4 linked regions of the Arabidopsis thaliana genome follow. The protein of the gene in region 1 interacts with the protein of each later gene in a pairwise test. Each region holds a gene or a part of one and is shown in the gene's direction. Other genes may lie near its edges. The genes, in order: UNE16, AT4G26410, AT1G50730 and AT3G03990.

Region 1 (6,596 bases):
TGTTCAGCTGATGGAACTCTGTTTAGGGGACAACAGCTACATGCATACACAACTAAACTTGGTTTTGCTTCAAACAACAAGATTGAAGGTGCGCTCCTTAATCTGTATGCAAAATGCGCTGATATTGAAACCGCCCTTGATTATTTTCTTGAGACTGAGGTTGAAAATGTAGTTCTCTGGAATGTGATGCTAGTAGCTTATGGGTTATTAGACGATTTAAGAAATTCTTTTAGGATTTTCAGACAGATGCAGATAGAGGAAATTGTTCCAAATCAATATACCTACCCGAGTATTTTGAAAACTTGCATACGACTTGGGGATCTGGAGCTTGGAGAACAAATCCATAGTCAAATAATAAAAACTAACTTTCAGCTCAATGCCTATGTTTGTAGTGTGCTCATCGATATGTATGCAAAATTAGGAAAGTTGGATACTGCCTGGGATATACTTATAAGGTTTGCTGGAAAAGATGTTGTGTCTTGGACAACAATGATTGCAGGTTACACGCAATACAATTTCGACGACAAAGCTTTAACAACTTTCAGGCAGATGTTGGATCGAGGGATTCGGTCTGATGAAGTTGGATTGACAAATGCAGTTAGTGCATGTGCTGGTCTTCAAGCCTTAAAGGAAGGACAGCAAATTCATGCTCAAGCTTGTGTATCTGGTTTCTCATCTGACCTGCCATTTCAAAATGCACTGGTTACACTTTATTCTAGATGCGGAAAAATAGAGGAATCGTATTTAGCGTTTGAACAAACTGAAGCTGGAGATAATATAGCATGGAATGCTCTGGTATCCGGATTTCAGCAGAGTGGAAACAATGAAGAAGCACTTCGTGTCTTCGTTCGAATGAACAGAGAAGGAATTGACAATAATAATTTCACGTTTGGGTCTGCTGTGAAAGCTGCTTCTGAGACAGCTAACATGAAACAAGGGAAGCAGGTTCATGCTGTGATCACCAAAACCGGATACGATTCAGAAACCGAAGTTTGCAATGCTTTAATCTCTATGTATGCCAAGTGTGGGAGCATTTCTGATGCAGAGAAGCAGTTCCTTGAAGTCTCCACGAAAAATGAAGTTTCGTGGAATGCGATAATTAATGCTTATTCTAAACATGGGTTTGGTTCTGAAGCACTAGATTCTTTTGACCAGATGATACATTCTAATGTAAGGCCTAATCATGTGACGCTTGTGGGAGTTCTATCAGCATGTAGCCACATAGGACTAGTGGACAAGGGGATTGCATACTTTGAATCCATGAATTCAGAATATGGATTATCTCCTAAACCGGAACACTATGTGTGTGTAGTGGATATGCTAACTCGAGCTGGTCTTTTGAGCCGTGCGAAAGAGTTCATTCAGGAAATGCCTATTAAGCCAGATGCCTTGGTCTGGAGAACACTTTTGAGTGCTTGTGTAGTGCACAAGAACATGGAAATAGGAGAATTTGCAGCGCATCATCTCCTAGAGTTAGAACCTGAAGACTCAGCAACATATGTTCTTCTGTCAAATCTGTATGCGGTGTCCAAGAAATGGGATGCTAGGGATCTTACAAGACAAAAGATGAAAGAAAAGGGTGTGAAGAAAGAACCGGGACAAAGTTGGATTGAAGTTAAAAACTCAATTCACTCTTTCTATGTTGGTGACCAGAATCACCCGTTAGCAGATGAGATACATGAATACTTCCAAGATCTTACCAAACGAGCATCTGAAATCGGGTATGTGCAAGACTGTTTCAGCCTATTGAATGAACTGCAGCACGAGCAAAAAGATCCAATAATTTTCATCCACAGCGAGAAATTAGCAATTTCATTTGGACTCCTTAGCTTGCCTGCAACAGTGCCTATAAATGTAATGAAGAACCTACGTGTTTGCAACGATTGCCATGCTTGGATAAAGTTTGTATCTAAGGTATCAAATCGAGAAATCATAGTGAGGGATGCATATAGGTTTCATCATTTTGAAGGAGGTGCTTGCTCTTGTAAAGATTACTGGTAAGAGCCAAAGCCTGGTAGCTCACTCGCCTCTTTTGGGAAGGTTAAGTCTGTGTTCCAAAGTTCGAGCTCTGGTTCTCGCTCAAAGAAGGAGATCATGGACCAAACCTTACGGGTAAGCTGAATTCTCAGCAATGATATGATACTAGACGATATACTTGAGCAAAGAGTATTATCCTGAAGGAAAGAATAGTCACATGACTGTTCTTGAGGAAAAGTTGGAGTTGATGCAGGAGTTGATCATGAGCAAAGGAGACCATCGATGACTTAACAAAACGAACCACTCCTTTGTTTCTACTACCATTGCTAAGTAACTATCACTATCTTTCATACCCCATCCTTTTTTAGGGGCTTATATATGTGTACATATTACATATATACGTGCATCTATGGCTTTAAAATTGATGAATTGTAGATTAAGAGAAAGTGTCTCAAAATAAAGATTCTATGTTGCCAAGAAACAGAGTCTCTCTTTATGCATATGAATGATTGATGTGCTTCTGATTTCTTAATGTTTTATGTGGCTGAATTTGGAAACTGCTATTACATAAACAAATTTTGTCAATAGTAATATAAAAATTAAAAAACTAAAGCTAAAGAATACTTTTTTTCTCTTGAATTATATAAAAGAAAAATAATTGGAAAAATGTCTAGTAGGTTTAAAGGATTTGATATTTAAAAAAAAATTGAGGACCCTATTTTTTTCTTTTTTCATTTGGTTTATTTTAGCAGTTAGCACCATCTTAAGATAGAGAACTTGAAGTTTTATTCTGCTATTGAAAAACGAAAATAATAACTAAAAGAAATTTTATCTTACTACTTTTTCAAAACATATATGTTATTTGGAATTTCAATGCAAAGAGTACAAATAACCAAAACATAAATTCTGCTCTCTCTTTTTTTTTTTTTGAAAATATCTAAATAAATTCAATAATGCACAAATATAAACACAAAATACTATCCGAGTGTTGTCTTGTCCAATCTATCAACTCGTTTCTTCGCTGTCTTAGAAATCCACAATATCTTTCTTCACACTTTCTTTCACTTTCCCGGGAAAACAGCCGAGAAAATAAAAGAAACGAAGAAAAGTTTGTTCCTTTGTGGGGATCAAAGAAGAATGTACTCGGCGATTCGGTCTTCGCTTCCTCTAGATGGCAGCTTGGGAGACTACTCTGACGGAACCAATCTTCCCATCGACGCTTGTCTGGTCCTAACCACTGACCCCAAGCCTCGCCTTCGTTGGACCTCTGAGCTCCATGAAAGATTCGTTGACGCCGTCACTCAGCTCGGCGGACCCGACAGTAAGTGTCCCTTCTTAGAAATTTATGGATCTTAGAATGAAATGTGTTTTTTTTTTTAATCTGTTGTTCTTCAGTTAGTACGAAGAATTTGACAACGAGTTAGGTCTAATTTCTTTCAGATTTGGAAGTCAATCATCCTGAAATAGAATGGATTTCTTGGGTTTATGTCACTTAGAACAATTTAGGAATTACTGTGGCATTCTTTAGGTTTTTTTTATTGGCCTTGAGATTTGTTTACAAGATTAGTTTTTTTGTGTGTTTGGTTTGATGTCAGAAGCAACGCCTAAAACTATAATGAGAACAATGGGAGTGAAGGGTCTCACTCTTTACCATCTCAAATCTCATCTTCAGGTTTTGATGCTACTACCTTCAATATCAAATTATGCTTCTTTGGCTACTTATAACAAACAAAGTTCATTGCTTTTTGACTGTGTTGTTCTCTGGTTTTTTGCTCGGTAGAAATTCCGCTTGGGGAGGCAATCTTGTAAAGAATCAATTGACAACTCTAAGGATGGTATTCAGTTATATCTTTAGCTAAGAATCCATTTATATCTTTATGGATTCAGTTGTGCATTTATATCTTTGTGAACTTATATCTCTGTAGTTTCTTGTGTTGCGGAGAGTCAGGACACTGGTTCATCTTCAACATCATCCTTAAGATTGGCTGCTCAAGAACAGAACGAGTATGGTTTCAAGTGTTCTCTTTATTCCAAGTGTTATATTCACTGTCTATAACACTCATTGTTTTTGTCTTGAGCCAGGAGTTACCAGGTCACTGAAGCTTTGCGTGCCCAGATGGAAGTCCAAAGAAGACTACACGAGCAACTAGAGGTTAGTTTCTTCTTCGAATTCACCAAATACCAGAGAGACTTTGGTTAATGAGAGACTATATAGAAACCTCCATTGAATTTCCTTAAAGCTTATCAGAACGTTACTACTTAGGAAATCTTTTCATGAAAGTTAGAACCATAGAAACCGCATATACTAATGTTTGAGCCCTGGTTCCACATTTAATAAGATCCATTAGTATACGCAGGTGCAAAGGCGACTCCAGTTAAGGATCGAGGCACAAGGGAAGTACCTGCAATCAATTCTAGAGAAAGCTTGCAAGGCTATAGAGGAGCAAGCTGTTGCATTTGCTGGGTTAGAGGCAGCTAGAGAAGAGCTTTCAGAGCTAGCCATAAAGGCCTCCATCACCAATGGGTGCCAAGGAACAACAAGCACCTTCGACACAACCAAAATGATGATTCCATCCTTATCCGAGCTTGCAGTAGCAATAGAGCACAAGAACAACTGTTCAGCAGAGAGCTCTCTGACTTCCAGCACTGTAGGAAGTCCGGTATCAGCTGCGTTGATGAAGAAGAGACAACGAGGAGTGTTTGGAAATGGAGATAGTGTGGTTGTTGGTCATGATGCTGGATGGGTTATGCCTAGTAGTAGCATTGGATGAAGTTAGCAAGAGAGAGAGAGAGAGCGAGACCAGATTTTAGCTTATTTAATTTTGCTATGTTGTATTTAACTCTAAACTCTGTCATCAAACTTGTCTTAGCGTCTATGTATATATTTGTTGAATCTGTAGCCTCTCTTTTAGTTTGTGTATTTGCTTCAACTTTTTCTAAGCTTGCCTTCTTTTTTCTTTTTTGGACAAACCTAAATATAGAATTTATGTAATTGTATAACATAAAAAATACTCATTAAATACTCATAACTTATCTCCATGCTATAGATTGGATCTTGTCTACAAATTAGTTGGCACACATTTGCGTAAATGCACAAATTTGATTACGTGTGTAAAATAAAATGTCAAAGAAAAAAAAAAAAATCTCAAGAGGAAGAGAGTGATGGGGTCGGCGATAAAATGACGGCGTATCTGCTCACTCGTACGGTGATTTGCAACTGAAGTTTTGAAAACTAAAAAAGAAGTTTTGATTTTTGAACAAAGAGAGAAAATAAAAACGGCAGAGGAAGAGCCGTTTACGTTGTGCTTGCTTCCCCAAGATTTCTCAACTTCTTCTTCTTCGTGTGAGTTTCAATTCTCTAATTTACTAAAAATTAATCAAATCGCAAGGAGTTTCTCTGTGTTAACGATTGATTCATCGTTGAGTTTTCTCTGTGGTAACGATTGTGTTTATATATAATTTGATTGATTGATTGATTAACTTACCAAATTAGTCTTAGATTTGGATATATGCTTGTAATTGATTCAAATAACAATTTGATTCTCTAACCAATTTCTCAAACTTTGAGTAATTTCTGTAGATTATTGTATACTTGCAGGTATAAAATGCGTTGCCAGGAGGTAAAATCATGGACATTTAAAGGTTTAGTGGCTGCGTTTATCGATCTTTCCGTTGCGTTTTCGCTACTTTGCGCATCGTTTATCGTTTATGTAACATCGAAGTTCCTCGGTTTATTTGGTTTAGACCTACCATGTCCTTGTGATGGTCTATACAGTGAGTGTTTTCAAGAGAGTTTAAGGAATCTTCCGGTTAAAAAGATCTCTTCTGTTCAAAGATCTGTTAAAAATAGAACACCTTTTGATTCAATTCTGTATAATGGTGGAAAGAAGAGAAAATGTGAGCGTAGACGTGTTCAGTTGGAAGATGAGGTATCTAGTACTACTCCTTCTGTTGGAAAGTTTGAGAATAAGGCTTCAGGGTTCGATCTTTTAACTGCGCAAAGTTTGAAAAAAGGAAGCTTTAAAGTTAAGAGTAAGCGGCTTAGCTTCCATAGGTCGCCGTATGGTTTCAAGAACCATTACCAAAGTTGTTTAGGCCTTAAGAGCTTTGAGGGATCATATGATGAAAATGATCCTCTTCTTGTGAACTCCAATGGTAAGTTTTTTTGTTGTCTTTATTCAATTATATTGGATAGTGAATGTTGATTTTGATGCAAGTTGTAACATTGTAGATAGTGGAAAAGCATTGGAGGATGTGTCGTTGCGGAAAAGTGTTTCACTAAGTTCTGTTGGGTGTGGAGTGGGAGAGGGTGCATGCAGTTCCCCTGGTATGGTACAGAGGACGGTTGAGATGTCAGAACAAGTGCTTGGGGAAGAACGAGCTGCACGTGCTTCGTTAGCTCTTGAACTTGAGAAAGAGAGAAATGCTGCTGCATCTGCTGCAGATGAGGCTTTAGGTATGATATTACGGTTGCAAGAAGAAAAGGCGTCGATAGAGATGGAAGCTAGGCAATATCAGCGGATGATAGAAGAAAAGTCTGCTTTTGATGCGGAAGAGATGAGTATTCTTAAAGAAATTTTGCTTAGGAGGGAGAGGGAGAAACATTTTCTGGAGAAGGA
Region 2 (7,137 bases), 5.4 Mb from region 1:
ACATATATACATACATCACTCAAACTAATATAAATCACATATCCATACTCAGATTCTTATGATATGTTACTTTTGATATTGTCAGGTTGAAAACCAAGAAGGTGTAGCGAATTTTGATGATATCTTGATAAACTCGGATGCGTTTATGATCGCAAGAGGTGACCTTGGAATGGAGATTCCAATTGAGAAGATATTCTTAGCTCAGAAAGTGATGATCTACAAGTGCAATTTCATGGGGAAGCCAGTGGTTACAGCGACTCAGATGCTTGAGTCTATGATCAAATCCCCACGACCAACAAGAGCAGAAGCTACTGATGTTGCAAATGCTGTCCTCGATGGCACAGACTGTGTCATGCTTAGTGGTGAAACCGCAGCTGGAGCATACCCAGAGCTTGCTGTTCGTACAATGGCCAAGATATGTGTGGAAGCAGAGAGCACACTTGACTATGGAGACATCTTCAAGAGGATAATGCTTCACGCTGCGGTCCCTATGAGCCCGATGGAGTCACTTGCTTCATCTGCGGTCAGAACCGCTACTTCCTCAAGAGCCACTCTTATGATGGTCTTGACCAGAGGAGGCAGCACGGCGAGGCTGGTGGCTAAGTATAGACCAGGGATACCCATTTTGTCCGTGGTGGTTCCTGAAATCACGTCTGACTCTTTTGATTGGGCGTGTAGCAACGAGGCACCGGCAAGACACAGTCTCATCTACCGTGGTTTAGTCCCGGTGCTGTATGCTGGATCGGCTAGAGCCTCGATCGACGAGTCAACAGAAGAAACTCTCGAGTTCGCGTCAGAGTATGGTAAAAAGAAGCAACTCTGCAAGACCGGAGACTCTGTTGTGGCTCTCTTCCGTACAGGTAACGCTATTGTTATCAAGATCTTGACCGTCAAGTGATCCCATTTGCGTTTGAGTTTTGCCGGTGTTTCTTAGCGTTTTGGATGTTTATTCATCATGGTGACTAATCTTGAGATGAAACTCAAAGTCTCTTTTGTTTCTTTTTTTGTGTGTGGCTCCCACACACTACATAATGTTCTTGGATCATACTCTGGTTACAAGTACATTAGTTTGGTACGAGTGCAATTGCATAAACAAAGACTATTTTTTGAATATATTTTACAAAAATGTGTGATCACATTTGGCTCGTGATCACACAACTTTGGGATTCGTATTTGGAGATAATGCGATTCATGCAGTCAACAACCATACTCACAGTCACATGCCTCTCCCTCTCAACATAAATACCTGTGTTCATCTTTTTATATTTTACTAAATTAAAAGGGATACTTTTAACGGAAACCCAAATGATCATCAGATATTATAATACAAATAAAGAAAAGATTCCATTCCTCGAAAGTGTTTATTTGTTATGCAGTATTCAACAATCTGAGTGAACAAGATTTTATGTACTATAAGCTGAGGAATAGCAGTTTACGAGTTCTCACCGAGATGAGATGACCCCGAGGCCGATGCGGATGACGAAGAGGATGAAGAGAATAATCCGCTGAACGGCCATGGAAAAGAGAACCTTCTCTCGCTCACATTACTGTTCCTTGCATCATCTTCCACATTCTCATTACTTACGTTGATCTCTAGAGTTCTTGTTCTCGGTCTTACAGGATTAACCTTGGTCTCATCATCAGGAGGGAGTTCATATCGGCACACGGGACATGAACTGTGAAGCTCGAGCCACGGTACTATACACCGGATGTGAAACTTGTGCTTACACGGCATCTCTTTAGCTTCACTTCCTTTGTCAAAATCATCCAAACAAATCGAGCACTGCAATGATTCACTTATCTTAACCGTTGGGAGATTATCCACAACTTCTTTACGTGCTGGAAGACTCCCGTGCCTGATTGAATCATTATCAGCTAGATGTTCAAGCAAATGGTCTAAACTGGATCCAACAAAGTAATCTCCAATTGCAGAAAGAGAAGTATTGTTCCGGTTTTGATTCAAACTCGTTGAACCCTGAACAACAGCTGATTGATTTAACAGGTCTCGATCCGAGCTCTCATACTCAGAAGCAATCCCTGCACGAATACCCTGAAGCAACTGCAATATAGTAGCTGAGCTTCTCCGTCTCCTCCTAAGGATAGACTCAAACTCTCTGTCTAAATCAATCTCTCTACCTTGTTGCCTGTGGCGATGACGACGATGATGATGTCGATCAATATCGACGCTGTCATTTCCATCAACATCATCAGATACATTGACCTCATCATTATCCACACCAAACTCTGTCCTCCTAAACCTTCTACGTCTACGAGGATTACTCATCATTCCAAGCAAGATTGGACCCCATAGAGACAATGCACGGTCTGTACCAAAATCAATCTCAGGGTCTTGAACCTCCCTTAGACTGCTACTGCTGCCGCCATTAATCTCACGGCTCATTTCCTCGACAAACCCGCTTTGGCAAAAGGGGCATTTGATCTCGGCACCAATAACTGGATTCACCATTTGTGAACACATGTGACACCAATACCTAGCTGACATTGCCTCTTCCTCCTTCTTTCCTTCCCCACCCAAACCTCTCGTTTCTGAAACAACCAGAAGAACAACAAAAAAAAAAACATGAAGAAGCAAACCTATAAAGTTTCGACCTTTGTTTCATCAGATCTAAATAAAGAGAATGGTATTCCCAAAAGTTTCACTAAAAAGAGGATAATATCATCTTCACCAACATCATTAGCTCAAGTTTCAGACAACAAAACGCAAGCTTTCTATGCAAATGCGAATAAACAGATCAACCAAAATTTGCCTCTATAAAGAGATAACAATAGAAATCAGGGCTAATCCATGAAAAGAAAACTCTCAATTCTCATGGAGTAATTAAAACAAAACAAATACAAAAACAAACCTTGTAAATGTTCTTACTTTTGGAGATCCAGAGGGAAGAAATGTCTTCCTCCTTCTTTTAGATCTCCACGAAGATAAATGAGAGCTTTTTTATTTGTCTTCTTCTGCAGAAATGGTGGGAGACGAAGAAAAGAGGAATGAAGGAGGAAAGGAAGACGAAGATGAAGACGAAGAAAAGGGAATGTAATGTATAGTTCGCAGACCCAATCTTAAAGCCCATTAACCGCAAACTGATATATAAAGGAGCCGGGTCTATCTTAACCATTTAAAACCAACTTCTAATTTGGAATCAAATTGAACCGAATCGAACCGGTTGAAGTTGAAAGAAGGAGAAAAGGCGTTGTCTCCGTGCGAGAAAGGCAAATCGGAGACGATGAGCGAAACCGAAGCAACCGGCGTTACCGATGATTCGGCTCCAGCGATTGAGACTGAAACTGTTTCTGATGCGATGGAGCATACAGCGATCGGAGTGGTTGAATCGGTGGAAGGAGCCATAGAAGGAGCAGAGAAATGGGTGGGTGATTTGCAACGGACGGTGAAGGAATCGAAGGATACCGCAATGCGTTCTGCTCGTTCCCTCCGTGAAAATTCTACCTCTCAGTTCCGCTCTATACAGGTTAGTTAATCTCTCTTTTGTTCACCAAACAATTTTTGCGAATCGAGATTGTTTACCAAAAAACATTTTCAGGATTTCAAACCATGGATATGGTGGAATTTAGTATCTCGTAAGCTATAATTTCTAGAAATGAGCTCGATTCAGAACAGATATTTCTCCAATTAGCAGTTTTATGTATTGAATGGTGCTAGTTTTTGTTCATATGGGTAAAATCTTGTTGAATCATACCATTATAACTTATTGGCAATGATCTTAGTCTCTTCCTGGGTTCTGATTCTGCTTCAAATGGTTGTTTAGAAGACTGTAATGTATCGCTGAGGCATTCTTGATTATTCTCTAAACAATGTTTTTATATGATATCAGATATTCATGTAGCTTAATGATGTGTGATATGGAGTAGACCCTATCTGGCTGAAATCACAGTTCCATTAGATGTATGTATATGTCTTCGTCTTCTCTCATACAATCTTACATTTGATTCTGAAATTGCAGGATTTCATTCCACATGCTTTGACTCAGTATAAGACCTATGAGAATGCTTTCTTCAGTAAAGTTACAGGTATCTTGCAGCCAATTTTCGTGAAAAAGTTATACTGGTAGACTACTGTAATGCTTAGGAACGAGTATTTTAGATCAAACTGAGATATAACAGATAGCTGCCACAAAACTTTTATATATACTTGTAGTGCATCTTATAGTGTTCTGAAACTAGAATCTTCATGTCATTCCGATTAATCAATCCTCGTATCCTCTGCTGCTTTTGTTATCCTCGCAGACGAATTGATATACGCAAAAGAGCATCCGGCTGCTGCTATTGGGATTGGTGTCGCTGCTAGTCTCGTTCTGATGCGAGGTATAACCTCTACTCTCTTATCACTTTTACAACTTACAAGATTCCTTCCCGTAGGAGCATCCAAATGGTATTACATCTGTTTTACTTATATGTGTCTTGTATGAATTTGGTTTTCTATTGTTCGACTTACAGGCCCAAGAAGATTCTTGTTTCGTAATACACTAGGCCGATTTCAGAGCGAAGAGGTATATACTATACCAGCTTCAAATTTATTTCTTAACGTTGTTATGCTTAGTTGCCCTGGTCTGTGTCCCTTCCCTTATTTTTACATCCACTTCAAAATCATCGTCGCTTCAGGCACAATTCTTGAAAGCTGAGAAGCATGTTCAGGAGTTAAACATGTCTGTAGACTTGATGAAAAAGGAGAGCAGGAAATTGCTTGAGAGGACGGCTTTAGCAGAGAAGGATATGAAACGTGGTCTCTCTGAGCTCATGTATGCCCCAACATGGACGCTCCCACTTCTTTTATTAAGTTATTGACATCATTTATGTTAATATGGGTACTACTGTTATATCTATAGGAACTCTGGAAACGATATACATCGTCTTGCTAAGTCCGTCCACAAAGCTGAATGTGAAGCTGCTGGTAATCTTGAACAAGATTTATTTTTACTCACTTCTCCCTTCTCCCTTCAAATGGTATCTTTGATAATGCCACTACGTCAGATTTCAACTTACACAAAGAGTTCTATTCGCTGCAGATTTGATGGACGGACTTCGGCAAATTCCTGGAAGGGATGCTATCAAGCTTAGAGCTGAAGTGAGTCTGACTTTTTTCTTCTCGCCCATTGTTTGAGCTTCATTGCTATGAACGTCTCATTAAATTCTTTTGTCGTAAATCATTAGGTGGCTTCCATGACTTCGCTTTTGAGACAGAAGAGGATTGCATTGAACAAAAGGATCATGGGTATGTCGGACCTAGGAGTTTCCGTCTGATATATCCAACACAAATCCACAATTTCTTGGGTTTTCGCAACCAAAGTTTGTTAGGTATTTTCCAATTGAATCGCAGTGTACTCTCGTCCATCGAACATCCAACTCTGTCTGAAACCAAAATCTGAGCTTGAGACAGAACTTGTATACTGTGTTTTTGCCTGCTTCCTAAGATTTCTCGCTCAGAGAGAATTAATTGAGTCACAAAAATGTGTGTGCTTGGTTTGGAAATCCTTAATTATGTAGTCTAGAAGATTTATGAGAAACATAGAAAGTTACTGAATCAATCAGTAATGAAAATTTATAGATAACATGAAGGTTTTTAATGGGCTAGTTTTGCATCGTAAGTCTATGGGAGACGGGCTGTGGGCCATCCACCCATGCGACTAGGCGACCCAACTGCTCCGATTGGTCTAGTAATGTTAAACCCTCCAGACGAGCAAGAAGCTTCAGTCGTCGGACCGGTCCGACCATTAACGTCCAGAGTCCGTTCTCTCCTCCTTAGACGCTCCCTCTTGAGCAGAGTCCCTAACTTATCTTTTCCCGATTTTCCCTTGTCCGGAACAGGTATCATCTCCAGACCCATCAGCTTTGCAACAACCCCCGTCTTGCACCATACCACACTCTCTCCGGCCACTGTCCGTGGCAGGCGTTTTGTCTCCAAGCTCATCTGGCTCGATCTCTTTGATGTCCGTTGATCCCCGCAGTGGGATCTCCGCCCACCCTGTATCGTCATGTCAGCACTGGTGCCAAGATGGCGCCGGAAGGATGACCGGTACATAGCGTCCTTACCGTCCAGTGAGAAACGTGGGTACTGATTCAACGCGTTCCTTGCTGACCTTAACGGCAGACAAACAGAAGTTGATATTAGTATTGATCATAGTATCATACACAATAAAATTATTTCTGTTTCTTCCGGTAATTCCTTAAATATCACTACAGATTTCACCAGTATACGAAATCTAGAAAATTCAAAAAAAAAAAAAAAAAAAAACACTTTAAAATGTAGTCATATAACTTGTTTCGTACATTCAAATCTACACCGGTGAATATCATATTATCAATCATGAAACCAACGTTATTTCTCCTCTTGAATACGTTATATTCATTATTCAATATTCATCTTAATTACTAACGTGGCATGTCAAAAAAAGTTAACTATATGTAAGAGCTCATGAGTCCCTAATGAGAATATTTACTTAAGTACATATAAAAATAAGCATGACGCACCTCAAAATATCGGAACTGTTAACGCATGACATCCGGGCGGGCTGATGATATAACTTATCATCATCAACATCATTATGGTCATCACAATTATCGTAAGTACCGTAGTAAGATTCACGGAGTCTCGCTCTTCGAACAATATCTTCTTCAACCTCTAGCTGAAGTATCATCTCCTCTAGAGTTCTCGGAGATCCTCCACCGAAAGGAGTGTTTTCAGGTGTAACAGAAGGCCCCACATCGTTCTTTTGATGTTGGTTTAGTGTCAAAGTTGAGCCATCACCACCACAAGAGCTAGCAAAGCCGCTACGTGGACCTCGTCCTCGCATTCTCGAGGCGAGGGAGTATTTTTTGAGGAAGAAGAAAGAAAGATCTTTCATTGTCTTGTTTAGGATAATACTGTCTTAAAGATTTGAAATTGATAGTGAATGAGAAGAAGCCATATGGTGTTGTGTGTTGTGAGAGGAATGAATACAGGGGTGGTGGGGAGTTAGTTTCCTCAAGTTTAATTGGGTTGTAAAAAGTTTTTAAGTTTATATTGACGTTTTAATGAGTGTCACGTGGGAAAGTGTCATTGGTGGTCACGAGGTTCTCTTTTTCTCATATTTCACGTACTGTGTGATATTGTAAATGGTTTGTTTCACT
Region 3 (10,279 bases), on another chromosome or scaffold:
TATAATGTTACTATATATAAAATTAAACTATAAAATATAAATGTATTAGAGAATGATACAATTTGCAAAAATTTTATATATAATAAATAATTCTTACATTTTAAAAATTACTACTTTAAAAAAAAATCACGGGACGGGTAAAAAAATTACAGAACGGGTTTTATTTTGGAATTGAGTTATATGGTGGTTGTATTTGAATCAATATTTATAAAAAATTTAAAATATTATTAATATGTTGTTTTAATAAGGGTTAAAACTTCAGATTTTTAACAATTATCTCATGGATTCGTGGTATACCGTTACTTAATAACAATTATAAATTGTAAAATATAAATATTTTATAAAAATAAAATTTGCAAGTTTTAATAAATATTACTTAAAAAAAATAAATAGTCCCGCGGTATACCGCGGGTTAAAATCTAGTTAATGATTATAATCTAAGCACTGCCGGTTAGTTTAGTCGATAATCAATGTATATTAATCAAGTGTGTAAGATTTTATATTTAGGTTAACAAATTTTGAAATAAGCTTAATTAGGTCTAACAATAAATTTATGACGATTACACGCATCATATGTTAAAGCCTTAATTCTATTTCTAATTATAATAATCAAAAATATTTGTGTGATGACAAATGTGAGCAAACTTGATCAAGTGATATATATGCTTAAAGAAAGTTGAAAAAAAAGAAGGTAAACCGGTTATTAAGGAAGAGCCGGAATGTGACCTAGAAAGTGTGAGTATAATCATGGCTGGACGAGAAATTAAAGGCATGCGGTGTGGTGAAGCAATGTTAATCAAATCCTTAATATTACCATAGGGACTTTCGTTCCAAGTCTTTGTGCCCTCTCGTACACCGTCGGCCAAATAATTATAATATTTATTAAATTAATTATTATTGAACTTTTTGTTACTTCGTTAAACATTTTTTCTTGGGACTATTCTATATATTTTTATATTAAAATTGTTATGATATTGGAATAGTTAAAGAAGTTATTCAACATTGACAATTTGAGATATAGCAATATTTTTCTGTAATTTGTGTTTGTTAATTTGCATTTGTTTATAATCAAATGAACATGCCATTTGATATAAGCGTACATATAGGTGTGCTAGTATAACGTATAAGCTAACTACTAATCTACTAGCCTACTAGTACTAGGAATATTGCATGCGTAAGTTTTGCGTACGGTGCATACTTCTTTTTTATTTAAACAATTTTTCAAGAGAATATAAAAATGATAGATATGATTAAAATCTAATTTATAAAATGAAATTGATTAAAATCCTTTAAAAATCATTATATATTTTTTTCTATTCATATTTTCATATTATTTAGTATATATTAATTAATAGATAAGAAAAACTATTAATCTTGATAAAAATTTAAATTTATCATCTAAATAGCTTTTGGAAAGAAATTGCTCAAATTTTTGTTCTCAAGATTAGTTATTGATCTCAACCTCACTATTCAACTCCATTTGCGAGGGGTGATTTGCATCTTAAACATGGTAGTATCAACGGGTTGTCTCGGATATCAAGAACAATGATGGGACAAAAGTTCAAACTTCACACGGTTAATTAAGAAATAAATAGTTATTGATCTAGCAACAAAAAGTAGAAAAAGATAAATGATATACGTATATAAAAAAGTCCAAAATTAATATCATGATATCCCTACGAATTCACGTTTTAGGTGCAACATTTATCAATCCACCACAAATATTATCAATTTGAATGAAGAGTACGAGTAACTTGTTGAATATCTGGTATAAGACTCCCTCATTGACCCCATTAATGTGGAAGAATCCAAAGACCAAAGGATTATTGCCCAAAAAGAGCGTAATCAGGTTTTGGAACCGTCCTCAACGTCACTTTGTCACACAACCGTGACTAATCTTTCACTTCCCGAAGTACTCGTGGAAGTGCCCACGCCTAACCATGAATTTGCTTGTGCCAAGAAGCTATCTAGCTATTGCCTTCAAGTGTTTGTAGAGAAAAAGTCGAATTATCTTTACAATCTTTATGTTCATTTGTGAGTGTCTTTCCTTTTCATTTACAAAACTTTAGATCTTTGAATCTCACCTTTGTACTATGTTTTTCGTTTGTCTCTGAATGAATGAAAATCAAGTCTTCGCACGCACAAAAAAAAGGCGTAGTAAGATATATAGAAATTATACAAAATGAAATAGGTTTATTTAGTGTAAGAAGAAAACAAAGAAATGAAGCTTAATTGAAGAACACCAAACTTAGTTAATCTTAGATTGATATCATGAAATGATGAACAAGGACAGTTGCATAAAGTTGCAACTCCCAAAATTAGCTACATTGGATTATTGGTTCTTAACTTCTTATAACAACATAGTTTTTATGAATCTAAACTTGCTATAAAAACTCAAATTAGGTGGGTTTATGAATTTTTAATGAGATAATAGTTGGACTTCTTATGTGGAATTCTCTCATAATTAACACTAACATTATTTTTAACTCTACTAATTTTTTCAAGATCCTCCACTGCTCTCAAATAATATCAAACACACAAAAAAAGAGAGAACTAATTTAACTTGTTTCAGTCTTAATTCGGAGTAGACATGAGACTCACAAGTTGTTGGTTATAAGAAAAAAAAAAAACTCACGTTGACAAAATCAATTCAGCTGGTTAAGTTTGGTTTAGTTCGGTTTGTTCTTGGGTTAGAATTTTTGTTTTGGGACACGTCTACTCCAATTTGACTTTTCATAAAACGACACCGTAAAATCACCATTAAGCGTTGTGGTTCTTCTCAAAGCAGAATCGCAGATCGTCTCCGGAGAGACGACAACGAGAATCACAAAGCCATGGAGTTGGAATTCCGGCGTCGCGACTATGGAGCTACACATAAATCTCAATTTCTTCCTCGGTCACAAACTCAAAAGCATCCTCTTTCCTCTACACTTGCTTCTCGTGACCAACAGGTCTGCGATACGATCCCTTAGAGGAGCGTTCACTAGCTATATCAATTCCCACATTTTTGTTCCCTTATCCAATTCATTAGTCTTCTCTGAATTCCTAGTGATTAGAGTAAAAAACTTCAATATATTGTTTGATTATTACTGCTGAATTTGATGGCTTTTGATTTTTAGTTCTTGAAGAGGATTGATGCATAATAAGACTTGAAAAAATTGATTTATAAAATATATATGTAGGCTAAAACTGTCAGAGGTCGCGATCTTCACTTCTTTGATCCATTGAGGGGCTTGGATGTGAATGCTTCTGCTGAAGAGAATGTTGAAGATACTTGTATATCCATTGAAGCTGTAACTCAGGATCTGATAAAGGAGTGGAAATCACTTAAAAGAATCTTAATGCAGCGGTTTCCTGTCTCCAAAGTGATTTCATTTTCTCCAGTTACGTATATTCTTTGCATAGAGACTTATTATTTGCTAAAAAGATCATTTGGTGTCTCCCTTATTCATCTTGTCTAACCTGTTCACCCATATTTTACAGATATCTAATATAATAACGAAAGGTTCCAAGGGTATGTCTTCGTTATGCCTAATAATAACCCTTTTCATTGTAGCAGCCTGGTTTATTGTTTCATGAACTTGTGGATGCATATCATAACAGCTTCTGCTTTGCTTTACTCAATCAGCAGTTGAGTCCCCTTCTGCTCTTTCCCATCCGGAGGAAACTGGCAGCGAACAAACTTCTCTGGAAGAGCCGGCCAAAATAATCAGCCAACATGAATATATAGCCAAAGTACATGAGCTAAGAGATGGAATAAATAGCGCTTGGCAGGCTGAAGATCGAGTAACATCGTTGAAGTTATCAATAAAGGTTAACATACTAACTAATCAAATTGCTTTGCAACAAAGCATGGAGAATTTGTTTGTAAAAATTTCAAAAAATTGGTTGTGTTCTATTCCTCTGTATCATTTTTATCCGTATGAATAAGTAAAAAGGATTCATTTGATTGATATATCCAATATAGAGTGCTCTTAAAAGCTCGTGTTCAATTGGAGTTGTATTTGAATACTTTTCCGCCATAGAAGCAGTTTGCTTGGAAATAAAAATAGATATGTGCTTTGGCTGTAGATATTTATTCCTAACTAACTAGATTATTATTATTTTAGGGTTCAATAATATCTTCCATTCTGCAGGTCACAAAGCTTCTGATGGATACAACAGTTTTGCGGTTTTATCCTACAGTCTTTGTCATTGTCACTGACATGCTAGATATGCTTGGGGATATGGTGTGGGAGCGGATCAAACAGAAAGCAGAACTTGATATAGATGGAACAGTGATCTGCGCCTTACCGAGTATGCATTTCTATTCTAATCGTGTGTTTCTTTCTAACAAAATAATATTTAGTCCTGAGCATAGTGTTCTCGAGAATAAAATTATGTGACCTGGGCATTTGTTCATGATTACAATCAAACACATACATTTGATGCCAACAGGTAGCGTTATTTCTAGTTGCAGCTTATAATTTATTCTCTAACCTGTGCTAAAGACAGATGATTTTCAATCAAGTGATATCTGCCTTGAAGCAAGAGAGACTTGCTATAACTGGTTTTGCAAAGTTGGTTCTGTTCGAGAACTTCTCCCTCGCATGTAAAGCCCCATCAATTATTATTTTTCTTATTCTCCCTACCTTCCTCTGCCTTAGCATTGGCCTTTCTTTGTATGCCCATAGTTATCTGGAGCTTGCGATCTTGCCTTGCTGGCGTTTCCTCATTAATCAACCCATGGAAGTTCTGGATCGTTTAGTCATGATGGTGAGAGGTCTCGCAGATCCACTGACATCTTTGTATTGTCGTCTTTATATGGTGCATCGCATGCAGAAGTTTGGGTTCTGCAGTTCAGGTACTCTTATACTATTATTCTTTCAGCAAAATGCTAGATACATGGTTGAAGAATCATAATGTTTTGTAATTTGCAGAATAAGCTTGGCTTTCTTAAACCGAAATGGATACAGAATTCTACTCTAGTCACATTTTCTTGCTAGATATTATAAGTTATGAATTTCCTTGTCATGAGTGAATACAGTTTGAACTTTGAAGAGACTAGGGAAGTCTGTTTGACTTGAGTATAGCACATGGGAGTTCTCGTGAATCATTCCATCATGACTGAATATCTGTAGATGAAGTGTCTCCTATCCTTTTACTTTTAGCAAGATGATGCGTAATGTTAGACACCTTCAGTTTGCGAATTTGAAGTTAGGATTTTACATGCCAACAATTAGATTTATGTGAGATGTTTTTTTCTTCCTTGAGGAAGACACTTGATATCTAAGTTTGACCTTTATATAACAGGATATTTAATCAAATGCATCAAGGATATTGAAGATGTATTGGCGCCTGTTTTAGTGGACAAGGAGGGGTATTCCTATATTACAGACGACAAAAAGTTACTTTTTAGTTTGGTGGAACCAGCCATCGAGTATATAATGAAATGCTTATTTCTGACTGGACGTCAGGTTAGTCAATGTTCTTGACTGACTAAAACTTTTGGTTCACCTTTTTTTCCCATTCACAATGAGCTTGAGTTAGTTTTGCATTACATTTACTGAGGCAAAAAATGTCTGTCAGACCTTGTTTATCATTTCCGTGGTTTGTTATAAATTGATTGTTGTCCTAAAAATTTGGTTAGTGTACAGGAGAACAATGTCTTGGGCATACTTGAGGAGCTTGGATTTGGACGGAACAAATTTCAGTCATCTTACAACTCTTCGCATGTGTCCATTTTACTTCATTATTTACTCAAGGAACTTCCGTCTGAATTAGTTAGTTCACTAGCAATGGAGATCTTGGATATGATTAGATGCAGCAATGATTGTTCCTTTAGTCAGGTTATTTCTTCATCTCAGATTATATAAAATAGACAATCCAGTGAGTCTAACCCTTCCTTTTATGTTGTACTGTTTCATCAAGCAGGTTTTGAATTATAGGTTACTTGGAAATAGATTGTCTGAAGGGAAATCTCAAGAAGGTTTTCTCAGTTCACTCATTGATGAAGTTATTCAGGTTTGGTGTTTCGTCTTTCGTTCAACAAAATTAGGAATTCATTCTCATGGATTTTCAATCTTTTTGTGCCTGACATACTGACATTTATATATACACATCATATACCAAAAGATGCATCTCACTCCTTCCTGAATACTGATTTGCATAATACTCCTTTTCTTGCACATTTAATATGTCAACAAAACCTATGGTAAGGAGCGAAAAGTTAACGTGACTATTGCAACAGGCTGACATTTAAATGTAACTATTGTAACAGGCTGCTTCTCAGTATCAGTCACTTTATGACTACTTAAGAATTATGGACGCATATGTGGATCTTATGTTGCAGAACAAGATGGTGAGACCGATGTGATTTTTTTATTTGTACTCATGAGAATTCTCTGATCTCGTTTCTTTAGATTTATTTATCAGTTTTAATGGTTTCAGGAAAATCATCTGGATGCTCTCTTGGATGATATTGTAAGCCTAGCTCGCGACAAGTTTCTTTCTGAAGAAGAACAAGCAAGTTTGCAATCCATAATTTTGAAGCTGCTCTCTCATTTCGAGAACTTGCAAGAAGTACTTCCTCTGGTAATACTTTCCTCCCTCTTTCCTTTATCTACTTTCAGGCTTTCAGGAAACAGTACACAGCATCCAAATAGAGCTGTTTTGTATTTCTTTGGATGACATCATTATCTAGTTTCGCTAAACAACTTCTTTGGTTATCTTCTAGAATCATTTCATCGAGATTCTGGATCTTATGTCTGGGACTTCAAAGAGCAGTGTAAACATGCATCTTCTTAACATGGGTACAAGGTAAGGCTTGTTTGTTTTTCCAACGTTCTTAATTTGAACTAAATATCTCACACTTTTTGGATGGGGACATAGACCATTGTAAAGTTGATGAACGTTAATTTACATACATAACGTTTATGTATTTGGAAGGATTTGTGATCCTCTTTCTTTCTTGGTTAAAGTATTCATGTTTCTTTTCCTTTGGAGCAGGAATGGCTGCATTTGTGATTCAACAACAGTGCAATTGCTTTTTGAAGTTTCTCAGGCTCTTTATGATGCTACAGATTTCGTTAACATAAAGGATGATGACAATAGACAGACATCACATTTAATTTCTCGTTTTGTTGAGATGGTACCTTAAGTTCCACTTACATTATTACGAAATCAGTGAGCACTTGCCCTTTTTGTCAAGTTAGTTGAATTTGACTTCACTTTTGATGCTTAGGTTGACTATGGGGCAGAAATGGAACGCCATTTATTGTTTTTGGCGGAGTGTCGTGAGGCCTTTAATGGGATACATGAACTTAAGGTCAGCAAAAAGTTAATTATTCTTTGGTATCAGTTTTAACTTTTAATACTGCTATACCTGTGGAGGACCCTGTATAGTTCCAGTCTTGTGCATTCTTTTACTTCTTAAAGAGAGTTGATTATCTGGTAATCAGTTAATTATGGTGCATTGCTATTTATCTAGTCCTTTCTTGCTTGGTCATGACGGATACTTAGCCTTGGATTTGAGGGTCAAGCAGCAATGTATCTGCCATCTGGTGCATGATCTAAGTTATACATAATAGAATTTGAAGGTTAATGTGAATTTGGTAAAAACTCTAGAAATTACCGCAAAATTTGGCTACATATGATATGGTACATTTATGAGAAGGGAGGAGTACAGAGACTATTAGATATTAAGTATAGAGACTAGAGAGGGAACAAGAGCAATACATGCTTCCCACATGCTTTTTTTCTTGCTATGGGTGTGTTTATTTTTCGTTTATTTGCATTAGAGCTTGACACAAACAAAAATTATCAAACATTTTGATCATTTTTCCTGCTTATGGTCACTGGCTGCAGGAGACACTTGTTCGTTCAAGCAACACCTTGGCAGTAAAAGCACTGAAAGCAGGAAAGAAGCATATCAACTTTGTTAAATCTTGCCTAGCATTTAGCGAAGTGACCATCCCATCTATTTCATCTCCCACGAAACACTTAAATCTTTATCTTGAAACTGCTGAGGTAATATTTTTGTCTTTTTCAGTCCTTTACACTCCCACTTCAAAGCAATATACGTACTAAAGTTTGTTTTATAGGTTGCACTTTTAGGTGGTTTGATTTCTCATTCAGATGAACTGGTCATGTCAGCTGTTGAGTATCTAGAGAATGTAGTGCTGACAGATGGTGAGTCTGCAAATGTTTAATTTAACTACTGGATACTAAATAAATATCTGAAAAGTAATAAAACTAGTCTGACATATCTTGCCACCCTAAGACCAGTTACTGCAAAGAGAATACTTGGTTTAAATATTATAATGATGATTCTATGGTCGGTGGCCTGCATACACTTTTACTTGTGAAGTTTTTTCAAGTATAGATGATTATCTTTTTCTTCGTCACTCTAGCTTTGTATTTTTTCCATTTTCAGTTGTTCTTCAGGGCCTTTTATTTTTTCTCCAGATAAATGTATATGTCTTAATGAATGAATATGCATCGGATATGTTGATGGTATAATATCTTGTACATTTTTCTCTATCAGGTTTAAAATCAATTGATATAGATAGTATGGCCTCGGTTATATGCAAATTGTGCAGCCTCTTGGTAATGATCCCAGGTAAATCGTGGAAACTGTTTGATAGTTTTTGCTCAACAATATAGATGTGACTCTGTGTCACCAAATTGATTTCGTTCTCCTTATTTCTTCGGAGCTTCATAACTGAGTTATTTTCGTATATTCAATTGGAAAGGTAATCCCGAGAAAGGCGTGATGGAGATCCTTAAAAGTATCTTCTCTGCTACTCGCTCTAGTTCATGGTATGCATATCTCAAGGACTTAGTTTTTACCTACCTGTGGGCTGTGGACATGTAAAATAGACATGTATTCTCTTGTTTGTCTGCTGTTCTAATGCCCTCTTATGGCTAAAAGTTTATTGTCCCTTATGTAATTGTGATTGTGTGACATTTTGTGTTGTTGTAGGGCAACACTGAGAGTAAAGGTGAAGATTTTCTGTGCTATAATGTCACTGTTGTCGACACTTTCTCAGGACAATCTGCCTTACCATTCTGCCAATCCAGAGGTATTTATATGCCTCTCATCATCTTATTTGAAGCAAAACATTAGTTCCATTGTCGAAATTCCTTGGTCTGCGTAGTCTGTTTTCTGATGGCTGGTTTTATAATGTAAAATTTGGGTTATACTTATTTTTGTGCAGATAATTGGAAATGAATTGCTGTTCTTTGGTGATTCATCATACAAGCAGGAACTTGTCTCGTGTACTCAGTTAGTTCTAAGTGAACTATTAGATGCTATTGAGCAAGAGTCTTCACAGGTCAAACTACTACCACTAATAAGAAACATTCTAACTTTTTTGTTTCTCTAACTAACCCGAGGTTTTATTATTGCAGATTTCTCGGGGGAACATGGCGCTTGAAGCTTGCAATTGCATATCATCAGCACTAGTGGTACTGTTTTTCTGCCAAGTTTTGCATATTTTCTCATTCTTGAAAAGTTTTATTAACTTGGGGTGGTGACATGTTTGATGTTGTGCAGATGAATGAGAAAGTCAAAGAACTTTGCTTGAGACTGCTGGAAACAGCAAAAGGTTGTTTGGGTGCCAATGACAGGTACATCGAATCGACTAAGAAATCACTCCAGCTAAGATACACCGAGTGAATGTTAAATTATATGATCCCAAATGTGGTGGCAACAAAGCTTGTGAGATTGTTGCATTTGGATCCAGTCAAGTACTCGTTTGTACTGTACTGGGTATCTATTTGTGTCCATAAGGAAAATGACGATATAGTTTTGAGTATGGCAACACTTACTATAGCAGCTAATGGGTGTATAATAATAATATACAGCTTCTTAATCATTTATGATTTTGTAAACAATGAAGTCCCATTCGTTACAACATTAATGAAAAAATACATAACACACATTGCAACACTAACCAATGCAAAATTGTACGAACATAGTTACCGGTTTGCAACTTTTATTAGTGCTCGTAGTTTGTTTAATCTCATATTGCTTTGCTCAGATTTTTAATGAGCAAGTCTTTTCAAAACGCTAAGTATATATATAGGATGGTTATTAATGCCTGCATCTTGTCATATGCTAAAGAAAAATAAAAAGATGAAGATAATATTCTAGAAAAACTTGGGGTTCCTTTTTAATCTAGTTTGACTCCAAAAACAAAATCATCAGATACATGATGACGTGGCTACACAAGATTGGCAAAAAGCCTATCTTCACCAAAATTTGACAGGAACCTAGATAACGAAATTTTGAAGGTTA
Region 4 (6,247 bases), on another chromosome or scaffold:
AGAAGAAAACCAGAGAAAAAAAGGATTCAACCTTTTGTTTTTGAATGTTGAGAGTTTGGTGTGATGGGCGGGTTTAGGGTAAGTCTCCGTTATTTTTGGGTCTAAAGCAAATCTACCCCTTTATTTTTTTTGTATTTATCGAAATGGTACCAACATTTATATTTCAACCAAGTAGAACCTTGGTGTTATTACTGCAAATGGTTTGTAGAAACTAATTTAGTGAAGCGACTGCTTATTAGTAATTTGATAGAATGGTTTTGATTAGCTTCTTAATTCTCTGAACCTTTTGAATTTAATGTAGCTAAGAAATAGGATACGTTGGAGGTCTTTTACCCAAAATAAAGATCATGGGAGTTGATTTAGTTATGGGGTTGTTTTGAATGTTTTTTACACAAACCGGTAAAGTTTGTATGTTAGTCTCATAGTTAATTAAAACTATATATATATATATATATCAATTTGTCTTTAAATTAAAAAAAAATATTTAATTCATCGAATCCTGTTTGATTAAAATCTCTATTATTGTCCATTGTCCAGATACAATTCGACCAAATTTTATGGAAAATAGTAGTCAAATTGCATTCATATTCTTACTGCCAAATGAACTTTATTTCCATAATTTACCCCAAAAATTTGGTCCAAATCCAATGCCTTGGTTTCAATTTGGGAACAAATATTTGACTACAGTAAATACAATCAATTGACAAAACAATAAAACTGTGTCGGCAAAAATAATCGGTTTAAAAAAAAAAAAAATCTAAGCTTAGATTATAATGTTACAAAGAAAATTGTTTTGTTTATAAACTTTTAAATATATATCTATAATTTAAACCACAAAAAAGAAAAAAGAAGGATATTTCCCCAATTCGAAATGTAAGGCTTTTCTGGACAAAGAATCAAGAATACGGTTTAAATTGTTAAATGGAGAAATGAATGGGTCATTAATCTATAAATATGAAGATATAAAGAGGAAAGAATACGGTTTAAATTGTTAAATGGAGAAATGAATGGGTCATTAATCTATAAATATGAAGATATAAAGAGGAAAACTGTCAAGGAGCGGGTAGGGGTCAATTTGTTAAAATATAAAGTTAGGGGCTGATTTGTAAAACAATATGAATGAACTTATAATGAGGGCCAATCCCAATTTATCTTCTTCACTCCAATCACATCACTGCTAAGACTCATTGAATTCAAATCGTTATGTCTACACATTCATCAATCTCGCAACCGCCGCTTCCTCTCGCCGGAAGAGTCGCCATTGTCACCGGCTCTTCCCGTGGTATTGGCCGAGCGATAGCGATCCACTTAGCTGAACTCGGTGCGAGGATTGTTATCAACTACACCTCTAAAGCCGCAGACGCCGAGCGTGTCGCGTCGGAGATCAATGATTTTCCAGTTAGGGAAGAAATCACTGGAAAGGGACCAAGAGCTATTGTGGTTCAGGCCAATGTCTCTGAGCCAAGCCAGGTTAAATCAATGTTTGATGCGGCGGAGAGTGCCTTTGAAGCGCCGGTTCACATTCTGGTTAACTCTGCTGGGATTCTCGATCCAAAGTACCCTACGATCGCAGACACATCAGTCGAAGATTTCGATCATACGTTCAGGTATATACTCGATACTGTTCGTTGATTGGGTTCGTTATAGAAAGCTGATTCCTTTAGAGAATTTATCTTCATTGATTGGGTTCTTGTCTTCCCGCTCAATACTGGAAAAGTAAACTTTTTTTTGTTAATTAGTTAGGTTGATGATTATGTATAAGTTCTTGATCAATTGTTACATGTTCTATGATTTTGAGTTAGAAAGCTGATTCCTTTAGTATATTTCAACTGAGATTTTAGTGGAATCTGTGTTCTTGTTCACTCTCCATGAACCATGAAATTATATGTTCCGTGTTCTTTAGATTTGTATGTCTAATTATGAGTCAAATGCAACATGTCTCGTGTTCTTGTGGCTAATTAATCGACTTATGTTTCTTGTTTCATCCAATGTTCCATGTTCGTGAGATTTGTATGTCTAATTTCCAACTAAAGTTCCTTCATTCTTGTTTCCAATAATCCTCTGTTTGTTTCTTTTAAAATGGAGTGTAGTGTCAACACAAAAGGAGCGTTCCTGTGTAGCAAGGAAGCTGCCAATAGGCTAAAACAAGGAGGTGGTGGTCGGATCATACTTCTGACATCTTCCCAGACTCGATCTTTAAAGCCAGGGTTTGGTGCCTATGCCGCATCAAAGGCAGCTGTGGAAACTATGGTCAAGATTCTTGCAAAAGAGCTCAAAGGAACAGGAATCACTGCAAACTGTGTTGCTCCAGGACCCATCGCCACTGAGATGTTCTTTGATGGAAAGACCCCAGAGTTGGTGGAAAAGATAGCCGCAGAGTCTCCCTTTGGGAGGGTCGGCGAAGCCAAAGACGTGGTGCCTCTTGTTGGATTCTTGGCTGGTGACGGTGGTGAATGGGTCAATGGTCAAATCATTCCTGTTAATGGTGGATATGTATAAAAGAGTTCGTCTTGAGAGGAGCCTCTTCCTGATACCTTGAGAAGCAAATGTAGGGGTTAACTTGTTAGAAATAAAACATTGGGTTCAATTGGAATAATAATAATAATAAACACTGAGGTTGAAAATAAATGTCTTAACCATCTTAATAAAACACTCGTGACTCACCTATGTCCAAAAAAATATATCCAAATTTCTTCTTCTTTTTTTGTCGACATCCTTTTGTTGTTGTCGTCGACATCTAACTTTTGAATTTCTTAAAAACCTTATGTTTAATTTACAAACTCGTGTCTTCGTACTGACACATTCATTGGAACCACTTTATGTTTTATATAATTCAATTTATCATCACCCACCATTCGAATAATCTTTGGGATAAACGTCGTTTGTTGAAATACAACTACAGAATAAAAAAATGGTTTAAGAATATGGCAAGTGCAACAACACCTAAAAGTCTAAAAACAATATCCTTGAAGCATCTTAAATCTCTTAAAATATATCAGATGTGTGACGAATAATCAACGCATGCTCTTGTATCCATAAACTTCAAAAGCCAATCGAAAGTATTGGATAATAATAATAATAAATGCAGTGGAAAAAAAAAGATGATAAAGGAATTTTCATTACACACACACACCTACCCAAACAAGTTTTTATATAAACAGTATCCAACTCTCTTCTTTACCCTCAAACCCAAACACATAAAAAAATGAGTCAACACAACATCTTAGAAGCTCTAAATGTCCGGGTCGTGGGTACGGGTGATCGGATCCTGTTTTTGGCCCATGGATTCGGTACTGACCAATCAGCTTGGCACTTGATCCTTCCTTACTTCACTCAAAACTACAGAGTCGTCCTCTATGACCTAGTTTGCGCCGGCAGTGTCAACCCCGATTACTTCGATTTCAATCGTTACACAACTCTCGATCCTTACGTCGATGATCTTCTCAACATCGTTGATTCACTCGGAATCCAAAACTGTGCTTACGTTGGTCACTCTGTTTCCGCTATGATCGGAATCATCGCTTCGATTCGTCGGCCGGAGCTTTTCTCCAAGCTTATCTTGATCGGATTTTCGCCTAGGTTTCTCAACGACGAGGATTATCATGGAGGATTCGAAGAAGGTGAGATTGAGAAAGTTTTCTCAGCTATGGAAGCTAATTACGAAGCTTGGGTTCATGGATTTGCTCCGCTTGCTGTTGGAGCTGATGTTCCGGCGGCGGTTAGAGAATTTAGCCGGACTTTGTTTAATATGCGTCCGGATATATCTCTGTTTGTTTCGAGGACGGTTTTCAACAGCGATCTGAGAGGTGTGCTTGGGTTAGTTAGAGTTCCGACGTGTGTGATTCAGACGGCGAAGGATGTTTCTGTGCCGGCTTCGGTGGCGGAGTATCTTAGGTCTCATCTCGGTGGAGATACTACTGTGGAGACTCTTAAAACTGAAGGACATTTGCCGCAGCTTAGTGCTCCGGCGCAGCTTGCTCAGTTTCTCCGGCGAGCTCTTCCTCGGTGACTTTTTTTTATAGATATAAAAAGAGAACAATAAAATATAATTGGTGGAATATGGGTTTAGTGGGGTCCACGTATCGAAGAAAAGAAGGGCCTCTATTTGTGGAGGACAGTTTGGCATTGTCACAAATCTAGTAAGATAAGATTGTTCACTTGACACGTGACTTTCGCTTTTTTATCACTTTTTTTCTTGCTCTCTTCATTAGTTTATAATCACAAGTTTATTTCATAAAATAATTGGAGAATAACCAAAAAAAACATTAAAAAATCCTATCTTATCTTTTACTTTCCTCTGAATATTTCTATCCATATTGTTGTTTCTTGTAAGTTCCTGGACCTTGTATTGATTGACGTCTAACAACACATCGATGCAACAACAATCTTTAGTCTCAACACTTTCGATTGTTTTCTCTAATAAAATGATGGAGACAAAAAGATATAAAGTATACTAGAAAATTCTAGCATCACATCGTAAAAGTATCAACAACTAAAATGAAGCAACTATGGCTGACATAATCTTGATTTAAGTTTTATAGTATGCAACTATGCATGTGTGTTCTAAATAATTTTAAAGTTAATAAAATTGGTTAGTTGTATAATGTTGTTACCGTGCTATATATAATACAAGTTAAGATTTGAGAAAGTGAGTGTGTGAATTCTAGAAGACAATCACACAACGAAAACACGTCCTATCAATCTAAACTTTTGAGCAATTCAAAATGCATACGAATTGACAGGTTAAGACAAATCTAAAAACATTTTCAGCAATTCAATTTGCTTACGAATTTGACAGCATAAGACAAATCTAACCATCACCACTACAAATTGCTTGCTTACACTCTTTTAGCACGTTGTCATCATTTCTACCCTAAATATAGAAAAGTAAATTTATAGTAAAATCTACCTAACAGTATGGCTGCAGCGTCATCAGTTTCTTCTCCACCGCTTTGCCTCGCCGGTCGAGTAGCTATAGTCACAGGATCTTCTCGAGGAATAGGTCGTGCCATAGCCATCCACCTTGCCGAGCTTGGGGCTAGGGTCGTCGTTAATTACTCAACTAGCCCCGTTGAGGCTGAGAAGGTTGCCACGGCGATTACCACCAACTGTTCAAAGGACGCGGAAGTCGCCGGCAAAAGTCCACGTGTCATTGTGGTGAAGGCTGATATCTCAGAGCCGAGCCAGGTAAAGTCGCTTTTCGATGAGGCAGAGCGAGTCTTCGAGTCGCCGGTTCATATCTTGGTTAACTCAGCGGCTATAGCCGATCCTAATCATTCCACTATCTCAGACATGTCAGTAGAACTTTTTGATCGCATTATCAGGTTAATTTTAAGAAACTCATTTATTATAAAGATTGTTTCATTTAGTTATTTTGCAACTCTATAACGTGAATTTAATTAGATAGTGATATTAATTAGATTCGTTGTTTGATATAACAGTGTGAACACAAGAGGTGCGTTTATTTGTGCTAGAGAAGCTGCGAATAGGCTAAAACGTGGAGGCGGTGGCCGGATAATTCTCCTCTCAACATCACTGGTTCAAACCTTAAATACAAACTATGGCTCATACACGGCTTCAAAGGCAGCCGTAGAAGCCATGGCCAAGATTCTTGCAAAAGAGCTCAAAGGAACAGAGATCACAGTTAACTGTGTTTCTCCGGGTCCCGTCGCCACAGAAATGTTTTACACAGGATTGAGCAATGAGATTGTTGAGAAAGTTAAGTCACAGAACTTATTTGGTAGGATCGGTGAGACCAAAGACATCGCACCTGTTGTTGGGTTCTTAGCCAGTGATGCTGGCGAATGGATCAACGGTCAAGTCATCATGGCTAATGGTGGCTGTCTCTTGTAAAGAAAGAGAGTGGTTATTAGTCTTCTTATAAAATCAAAAGCTTTCAAATTTCAAACGTTGGATTTGATCTGATGAAAAGAAACATCAATAATCCATGTATCAATAACCAGTCAAATACAACCTCAAGCTCTGCTTTATGTGCTCTGTTCTCGGAGATAAGAATTAGGGTTTGTGTACTCTTCTTATCATAACGTTACAACATCCCTATACGTTTAATTATCTATTACGTTATTTTGTTAAGGTTTGTGTACTCTTCTTATCTCTTTAATCCTTTATTAAAAAACAGACCGAGGAATATCAAAGTTAATTAGTCAGCAAGAAGTCAAACAAAAAGAAAAAAATATGTTATGAATTTGATCCGATGGAACAAAACCTTCAAATGATTGATGAACCA

What was found.
Region 2: the proteins of UNE16 (region 1) and AT4G26410 interact in a two-hybrid assay, tested with the Arabidopsis thaliana proteins (one large-scale study listed by BioGRID).
Region 3: the proteins of UNE16 (region 1) and AT1G50730 interact in a two-hybrid assay, tested with the Arabidopsis thaliana proteins (one large-scale study listed by BioGRID).
Region 4: the proteins of UNE16 (region 1) and AT3G03990 interact in a two-hybrid assay, tested with the Arabidopsis thaliana proteins (one large-scale study listed by BioGRID).

What each region holds. Positions count from the first base shown.
Region 1 is NC_003075.7:7,935,016-7,941,611, reverse strand, and holds UNE16 (Homeodomain-like superfamily protein), read left to right. Parts: upstream 1-2,966; 5' UTR 2,967-3,114; coding exon 3,115-3,298; intron 3,299-3,572; coding exon 3,573-3,649; intron 3,650-3,757; coding exon 3,758-3,812; intron 3,813-3,902; coding exon 3,903-3,981; intron 3,982-4,059; coding exon 4,060-4,129; intron 4,130-4,325; coding exon 4,326-4,748; 3' UTR 4,749-5,006; downstream 5,007-6,596. Other genes in the region: AT4G13650 (Pentatricopeptide repeat (PPR) superfamily protein), read left to right, coding at 1-2,001; AT4G13630 (zein-binding protein (Protein of unknown function, DUF593)), read left to right, coding at 5,583-6,132, 6,209-6,596. UniProt on the Arabidopsis thaliana protein: Transcriptional activator. Probable component of the central regulatory system controlling transcriptional responses to Pi starvation. Binds in a sequence-specific manner to phosphate starvation-regulated promoters.
Region 2 is NC_003075.7:13,343,521-13,350,657, forward strand, and holds AT4G26410 (chromosome-associated kinesin), read left to right. Parts: upstream 1-3,133; 5' UTR 3,134-3,239; coding exon 3,240-3,482; intron 3,483-3,974; coding exon 3,975-4,041; intron 4,042-4,257; coding exon 4,258-4,335; intron 4,336-4,467; coding exon 4,468-4,520; intron 4,521-4,632; coding exon 4,633-4,769; intron 4,770-4,856; coding exon 4,857-4,921; intron 4,922-5,036; coding exon 5,037-5,095; intron 5,096-5,181; coding exon 5,182-5,271; 3' UTR 5,272-5,617; downstream 5,618-7,137. Other genes in the region: AT4G26390 (Pyruvate kinase family protein), read left to right, coding at 86-898; AT4G26400 (RING/U-box superfamily protein), read right to left, coding at 1,433-2,503; AT4G26415 (uncharacterized protein), read right to left, coding at 5,618-6,107, 6,499-6,872.
Region 3 is NC_003070.9:18,792,441-18,802,719, forward strand, and holds AT1G50730 (uncharacterized protein), read left to right. Parts: upstream 1-2,769; 5' UTR 2,770-2,834; coding exon 2,835-2,951; intron 2,952-3,182; coding exon 3,183-3,365; coding exon of another isoform or gene 3,366-3,383; intron 3,384-3,483; coding exon of another isoform or gene 3,484-3,514; intron 3,515-3,603; coding exon 3,604-3,813; intron 3,814-4,136; coding exon 4,137-4,296; intron 4,297-4,494; coding exon of another isoform or gene 4,495-4,510; coding exon 4,511-4,843; intron 4,844-5,292; coding exon 5,293-5,456; intron 5,457-5,636; coding exon 5,637-5,828; intron 5,829-5,913; coding exon 5,914-6,003; intron 6,004-6,259; coding exon 6,260-6,340; intron 6,341-6,429; coding exon 6,430-6,573; intron 6,574-6,715; coding exon 6,716-6,798; intron 6,799-6,987; coding exon 6,988-7,129; intron 7,130-7,222; coding exon 7,223-7,306; intron 7,307-7,845; coding exon 7,846-8,007; intron 8,008-8,081; coding exon 8,082-8,169; intron 8,170-8,524; coding exon 8,525-8,599; intron 8,600-8,732; coding exon 8,733-8,799; intron 8,800-8,962; and 9 more.
Region 4 is NC_003074.8:1,030,583-1,036,829, forward strand, and holds AT3G03990 (alpha/beta-Hydrolases superfamily protein), read left to right. Parts: upstream 1-2,996; 5' UTR 2,997-3,205; coding exon 3,206-4,009; 3' UTR 4,010-4,655; downstream 4,656-6,247. Other genes in the region: AT3G03980 (NAD(P)-binding Rossmann-fold superfamily protein), read left to right, coding at 1,204-1,607, 2,091-2,499; AT3G04000 (NAD(P)-binding Rossmann-fold superfamily protein), read left to right, coding at 4,918-5,324, 5,442-5,853. UniProt on the Arabidopsis thaliana protein: Involved in strigolactone signaling pathway. Does not move long distances acropetally in the plant to regulate shoot branching and is rapidly degraded in the presence of strigolactones.